Danio rerio: one gene and its partner. The protein of the gene in region 1 binds, or shares a complex with, the protein of each later gene. Links are inferred from orthologs where the notes say so. Each region holds a gene or a part of one and is shown on either strand. Other genes may lie near its edges.

Region 1 (3,832 bases):
AAGGTAAGGTAATTTTAATGTGCTATAGAGAAAAATTTGTTACATTTCTAAATATTTAAAAACAACTTTAAATAAATGTTGGAGTAAGTCAATATATTTTCATTTCTTTTTGTAAGTAACACATTGCATTTTAGCAGTAAGAAGCTACGATACAGATTAAGCTGAATCTTGACAACAAAATCAAATCACAATATTTGTCCAAAAAAATGGCAGATTATTTTCCCCCCATATCGCACAGCTCTAGTACAAATGTTATTACAACATAATGCAATAATACATTATATTTTTATCATTAAGATGTCTAAAGTACCACATTATTTTTTAAAGGTTCCATGAAATTAAAATAAAGTTTTTTAGATGTTAGTATCAGAGTAGTTAGTTTTAAGATATCTATAAGCTTGTGTACTTTAAAACAGTGACAAAATTCCCATTTAGAAAATATCAAACTGATAGAAACATGTAAAGCTTGTAGTTTGTCACTTCCAACTAAAGGGATCAACAGTTTATTCACGCCATCTCAAACTTCAGTTTCTCATCAAATCATAACCAATCAAATGCTCCCTACTAGAACTTGACATGCCCCACCCCCTTCAAAATTATTCTTATTTGCTTTTTATTTAATCACATGAGCTAAACCACTCTTACTGGCAGAGTGGTGATGAAACAAAATGCTATTGGCTGTTTTTTAAAAGGGGAGGGGCTACATGTCCCACCCACTATACGTGTTTCGATTAAGATTACGTCAACAATCAAATAAAAATGCATATTTTAAAACACTTTGAACACCTTTAAAAATATTTTGCCACAAGATTTTAAAAAACAAACATTTTTAAACTACAGATGTATTTATTTACTAAACTTTATTTACAGTGTGAATGTGTGATATGAGAAAAAATGACTTACAATTTGATAGCCATGTCTGTATTAAAAATGTTAATCTCAAAACGAACTAAAAACATTTCCTGAATGTTTCCTTGAGAAGGTTCACTATTCAGCTGAACTAAGCTCGTGAAAGACATTTATAGCAAAGAAATTAAACACATCAGCTTCTATTCAATCTTTTTCATAGCCAATGAATGTAAAAAAAGCATAATATGCCAGGGTTTAAGGACTACGCAGTAGCAAATTCCCACCTAACACTCAATAATAATTAAATAATGTTTATAATGACTCGTGGGGTGAAACAAATGCTGCAAGGCAGATTTACCAACCATTTTGAATGAATTCATTCTACATCAGTCACGGCATAATAGGATTGGGTGGCAAATTACCCTCAAACAGGCTCACAGACAAAAAATCTGGATACAATTCCACACAGCGTCTCTGGTGGAGGCATACTGGAATCAGCACAAGACACACACACACACACAAGGCAGCCCTGAGGAGAGGGGTAAGTGTACACAACAGAGTCTGGGTTGTAGGTCTCCCAATCTGATAGCATCAGTCCCTGAACCACAGAGCCTTTGGGTGTTTCCCAAAAGCAAAGAAGAGATGGAAAGGCTAATACCTTAAGAGCAAATGTGCCACAACACCGTATACAGCAAGCTGACCCCGGCTGGCTAAAGACCAAAAAAGGCTAAAGTAAAGATAAGTAATGCTGATAGACTAAATTCATTGGTTTAAATCATAGCAAGATGCAGGTAATTGCTTTTGTGGCAGGCCCACACAGAATTTGTGTACCTATTGTATGCATTTAACCCAGTGTTAAATGAAGCTAAAAATACTTCATTCTTTTATAAACTAATGGATAGAATGGAAAGCAACTGATAGTATTAGCGAACAAACTACATCATCGTTAAGTCTTAAACATATGCTGCCAGCCTGCCACAATAAAAACTTTGTAGCGGTACAAACCTAAACACCAAACTGGAAAGGGGCTCTGAGAAACAGTGCAAAACTAAGCACAAGACACCATATAAGTCTTTTAGCATGCAATAGCAAACATATTAAAGGTTATAAGCACAGACAGAGGTTGCAATGTTAATCATTACAATGTTTTATATTTCCAATAATGTGTGCTTTTTTTCAATTTTAGCAATTGAAGCAGGATCAAAATAACTTTCCTATGAATTTATTTATATTGACCTTATTCTAAAATGCGGAAGTGCGCCTGTTTTCGCGATTGTCTTAGAACTTCCGATTCAGTCGCCTATGGTAGAAATGACTAGGAATAATAAACGGCAGAAAATGGCCAAACTACTTCCTCAACAAACAAATGTTTGCATGACTACACAGACCAAGTAGCATAATATAATAAGAAAATATTAAATTGCAACATCAAGCAGCGTAACGAGCAGTTGTTAACGTCAAAAAATGAATGGAAGTGAATGTGACCGGAAATCGCGAGACAAAAAGATTCAAATGGCAGCGCCCGCTCGTCAGCTGACAATAAGGTGAATATACAGAGGCTCAATTTTTATATTAGATTAGGAAAACTAAGATAATGACACATGGGGACAATAGAGTTGTGTTTGGGCTATAGCCTAATAGAATACTTATTGTAAGATGATTCATCACTCCATTACATTTGTCGCTCATATGATAATTGTTGTTTTAACAATGTGCAAGTATGTCTCACTTTGCAAAAAAACAAACCAAACAACACTTAAACACCATGCAAAGACATTTATTCCCAGCTAATGAACAATAAAAAAAATTCACGACCAATCGGATCATTCCACTTAAATCTAAAGAGCTTGAGCAAATAACACTTTTAAAGCAAACTGCAAATAATACTAGCAACTCGTTTACGTGTGAAATTATAAAACATTTCTTTTCAACAAGATCTGGGTAATCCCTTAAACTTAACAGAAGGTGTAGACCTACTTTGGGGTTGGCGAGCGTGTTGATGACATTCCCCAGAGCAAGGAGCGAGCGGTTGATGTTGGCCCCTTCTCTGAGACGAGCCCCCTTGGTGTTGGTCGCACTGGCCCTTTCTGATCCGGCCAGGTCGATTAAGCTCATCTTGGCCACCCGAACATTTGGATTAAGACTGGCTGTCTTATCCTGTTGCCTTAAGTAGATCTAAAGAAAGAAAACAAAGATGGAGTAAGAACATTTCAGTCAGATTGAATATTAATATTTCGTCCTGACTACTTTGTAAGCCAGCTGACACTGGTTTGAACTGCTCAGTTAAAGAGATCGATCTCTCAAAAGGATAAATCCTGTCATCCTCCACTTGTTCCAAAAAAAGATTTCTTTCTTCTGTTAACACATAGGAAGATATTTTGAAGAATGTTTAAAACCAGAAGCCATTTCCCTCCATTTTATGTATTTTACACTACTGTGGGTGTCAGTGGTTACTGGGTTCCAATATTTTCATTGGTGTTCAGTAAGAAAAGAAGTAAAAATAATTCTGAAAAAAAAAGAAAAAAAAAAAAACATTTTTTTTCTTTAAAATATTTAATAAAAATATTTCTAGTTTATAACATTTGATCAAATGTATACTTAATAAATTTTAATATTTTAGAGTCTAGGGGCTCTATTTTGACGGTCCATGCGCAGAGCGCAAATGCTTTCAGGGCGGGTCAGAACGCATTTTTGCTAATTTGAGGACAGGAAAATCTGCTTTGCGCTGTGGCGCATGGTCTAAAAGGGTTGAGTTTATTTTCTTAAGTTAAAATAAAACTATTTCTAAATTCAGTTCTAATTTTCAGCAAACAAATAAATGAACAATAATAACAAAATGTGCTCAAAAACCTGAGTTATATCCTAAAACACATGCTGTGCCCCATATGGTCTAAAACCTGACAGGTGGGCAAATCTAAGCTTGTTTTTAATAAAACAAATATAAATATGGATATATTAAATAATACTGCTAATAATAATAACA
Region 2 (3,832 bases), on another chromosome or scaffold:
CAGTTACTATTAGCGGAGAATATAGAAATCATAAGTGACATACACTATATCTTCTCTTTCACAAAATTACTAGTGACTAACAAAACAGTAGAAGGTATAAAAATAGTAGTATAAATAGATCAATCAAATCTATGTTTAAAGGGTAGACATGTTGAAGATTAGCTGCTGCAGATCTGAGTAATGGCAGAGCAGTAGCTTTAGCTATTGTGCTGATCTTGGCAAAGGGAGGCAGGTACGTTTTCCAGTGGCTTTGGCTCTATAAACTGAACAAAATGTGCTGAGTGGTTACTAAGACTGAAGCTGATAACCACTATATTAAACACCTTTAATAAAGGAGAAAGGTAAGTCATATTAAAATGGTAATGTGGAAATAATTTTAATAATTAAAAGCAATATACACAATCAAAACAAAAAATAAAACTGTAAGATGTTGTTTGTATCTTTAGATACAATATTTTGTAATATATTGATTTTATGTGAATTTACAGTATTCCATGACTCAGTTTTCTTTTTTTTTTTAATTAATTATCGATATGCCGTAGTTGCTCGTTTCTTATTGGCGTGACAATTAATTCTAACAAAACTAAAGTAAACAGCACTGAATTTTGCATAGATACACAAATTGGAGTACATTTACATTTTTAAAAATAGCTTTTATTACCATGCATATTTATAATTCATATTACAGAGGTTTCTATAATAATGTCTGATTCACTCAACGATATGGGCTGAATGTAGCTGCATGAGCTTTTTGGTCTATTTGTGAATGTATTCATTAAATATTAATATAATACACAATTAGATTTTTTTCCATATAGCTCTTTAAAATTATTTTCCCTAAATTCTGTTATATTTATTTTACCAAATAACAATCATTTAGTACAGAGATGCCCAAAGTTGGCACAAGGTAACCTTTGATTCGGCCCGCCATCCCATCTGAAAAGAGAGGGAGAATGTTGGTGGTTGGGGCGAATGTCCTTGACAGATGTCGTCATTTTGAAATTTAAATTTAAAGTAATCTTTTGTTTCTTAGTTTAATTCCTGAGCTACAAAAAACGCAACTGAAGTTAAATGATTCAATTAAATGTTGTAAATGAATTAGACTTTTAAAAAGTAAATATTGTCACTTGACAAACAGTACATCTGACATCTACGAGCATATCAAAGTAAAGGCAGGTGCAGCTCAACTAGTGTATTCAACATTGAGCTCCATTGTGTTATAAATGGAAATGTTTATGTTTTTACTGTAAATAGCTTATTATAAAATGTTAAAAACAATGCTGCATTAGATATTAAATACAATTCGAATCAACGTTATCTTTTGTTTATATTATCGAATAAATGAGGCAATTCCCCTTGGCAAGTTTAATGTAACACAGGTTGGTATATTTTTAGCTCACAACCCTCAGTCAAGTTTTGTTTTTGACCCTTTATAGGAAAAAGTTTGGGCACCCCTGATTTAGTTTAAACAAAAATTCAATTATAACAATTGAATGTTTTTCCATTTAATACTTTTAATTGTTGTGATTCTACCCTAATTTTCTACAACACAAAAATCACAGGGCACTAATAGCCATTTTTGTCTCTCTATGGGTATCAGTAAATGATATGAGATTTGTGTTTTGTTTGCTTTATGCACATTAGGATGGTCAACCACCCCTGGATCTTCAAGACTTTTTTGTGCCAGAAGGAGAAGAATTATCCCAACAAGAGAAGATTAGAAGGTAACATCCCTCTCTTTAAATATACTCAATAAAATGACTATGAACCAGGAGTATTTTAACCCCACGTTTTCCCCATATGTGCCGAATAGGTTTGAAATGGCATATACGCACACGCTGTATTACCTGGCTCAAGTGTACAAGAATCTGCAGCAGTATGAGAGAGCTGCACAGTACTGTCACAGCACCCTACAGAGACAGCTGGAGTACAAGCAGTTTGCGCCTCTGGAGTGGGCCATTAATGCAGCCACACTGTCACAGTACTACATCACCAAGGTACAATTCATATACAGGTTGATTAAAAGAAGTATTACAGTAATTAGCAATTGTGTGGTCCATTGAGTTTATGTATCTTATTCGCTTCAGATCAGTTTTGTTAACATGCTTACATGGTTAACTATTTCCTGTATAATCTATGTATCTTACTGTAAATTAATTAAAGCAAAAATACCACATTTACTGTTTGTAGACATAGATATATGATATTAGAATTGATGATGGGTCACAGTTTTCTAATATTGACAAATTTAAATTTCTAGGACATTGGCTCGATACTGAACTGTCCTTTATATCCCGTATCGATTTTTTAATTCAAAAGTACAATAATACAAATTAATAATGAAGTTATAGAAAGAGTGTATGCAATTAAGTTTCTTGGTGTTGTATTGGATTATAAAATTTGATGGAAACTGCAAATAAATAATGTGATATCAAAATTAGTAAAAACTGTAGCAATAGTGTATAAAGCAAGATTTATCATGGAAAATAAATCAATGTATATATTATATAACACACTTATGTTGCCATACATGAGTTATTGTGTTGAAATTTGGCAGAATACATATAAATCTAATTTATGATCCATATGTACAATGCAGAAAAAAGTAATTCGACTAATAGAACATGTCGGGTATTTAGAGCATACAAATCCTTTATTTTTTAAATTAAAGATACTTAAGTTCAATGATTTAGTTAAGTTTAAAACAGCACAATTTATGTTTAAAGCTAGGAATAAACTACTTCAGAAATGTATACAAAAGTTTTTTGAAGAACGACAAGGGGGGTATAATCTGAGAGAACTAAATTTTAGGAGGTTGAAAACAAGAACAACTTTAAAAAGTTTGTGTATGTCTGTACGTGGTGTAAAACTATGGAACAGTCTAGATCAGACTCTAAAACAACGTCAGGATATTAATCAATTAAAAAAACTATAAATATATCTTAATAAAGGAATATGATGATGAAGGTTATTGAAAAGGATAAAAAGAGAAAGGTATGATAATTTTAATTAATGGCTATTTGCAATACTATGTTGTTGTTGTTGTTGTTTATTTTTTCTATTTGCAGTACTATGTATTTTTTTCTTTATTTTCTTCTTTGGGTCTATGTTACAAAATGAAAAGGTACAAATGGAATCAAACATATTATTTGTCAAAGATGCCAAATGGATCAAATTTGTTTCATGTACAAAAAAGAGATAGGTAAAAGAATAAATAAGTTTAAGTAATAAACGAATGATGTATGGGGTAATGGGGTGGGAGAATAATAAGCTTATGCTTCATCCCGCTCCATTTTCGACCATGTTGAAATGTATTTCTTTTTGATAATGATATTTTATGTATCATATTTTTAGTTTGAAAATAAATTAATTAAATCAAATAATTTAAAAGTCATTTCAGCTTTTAGGCTCTCTTTATCGTAGTATTAATTGTTTTTTTTTGTTTCAAGTAAGTAAAAAAAATATTTCTCAATTAATTTTCTCTATTATTGATTATGCTGGTATTATTTATAACAATACATCTGATGTTAAATTAAAACCTTTAAATACTCTTCAACTCTTTATGAAGGTTTGTTTTTAGATTAAGATAGATCCTATCATTGAATATTATACAAATCTTTAGCTTGCTTTAACCTAAGTTCCGTTTGTGTACTTCTTAGGGACCCCCTCGAAAATGAGATCATCTCAAGGGGCTATAACTATTTCTAAACTTCTAGCTTTAAATGTCTGCAAGGTAACTTCATACAATTATCTTGGTGTCTTCTTCAATAATTGACTGAAATGGAATATACAGGTTGACAATCTCAGCTGAAAGCTTCAACAACGACTGTAT

Evidence for each region.
Region 2: the proteins of kif18a (region 1) and kifbp are in contact, whole or in part, in a cryo-EM structure (PDB 7RSI), measured with the Homo sapiens proteins. The link is inferred for Danio rerio from reciprocal best matches to the Homo sapiens genes KIF18A and KIFBP. Residues at the interface, in NP_112494.3 of Homo sapiens: Glu181, Thr183, Gln184, Lys185, Gly186, Arg274, Phe275, Val276, Glu277, Gly278, Thr279, Asn280, Ile281, Arg283, Ser284, Leu285, Leu288, Gly289, Val291, Ile292, Arg314, Lys317, Asp318, Gly322, Asn323; in NP_056449.1 of Homo sapiens: Ser150, Glu151, Tyr212, Tyr213, Gln216, His220, Gln238, Ile251, Asn252, Thr255, Gln258, Asn262, Gly414, Tyr415, Val459, Asp460, Leu461, Asn462, Pro463, Gln464, Leu467.

Annotation. Positions count from the first base shown.
Region 1 is NC_133182.1:32,059,239-32,063,070, forward strand, and holds part of kif18a (kinesin-like protein KIF18A), read right to left. Parts: intron 3,025-3,832; coding exon 2,827-3,024; intron 1-2,826.
Region 2 is NC_133188.1:26,241,722-26,245,553, reverse strand, and holds part of kifbp (KIF-binding protein), read left to right. Parts: intron 1-1,644; coding exon of another isoform or gene 1,645-1,724; intron 1,725-1,813; coding exon of another isoform or gene 1,814-1,820; coding exon 1,821-1,997; intron 1,998-3,832. UniProt on the Homo sapiens protein: Activator of KIF1B plus-end-directed microtubule motor activity. Required for organization of axonal microtubules, and axonal outgrowth and maintenance during peripheral and central nervous system development.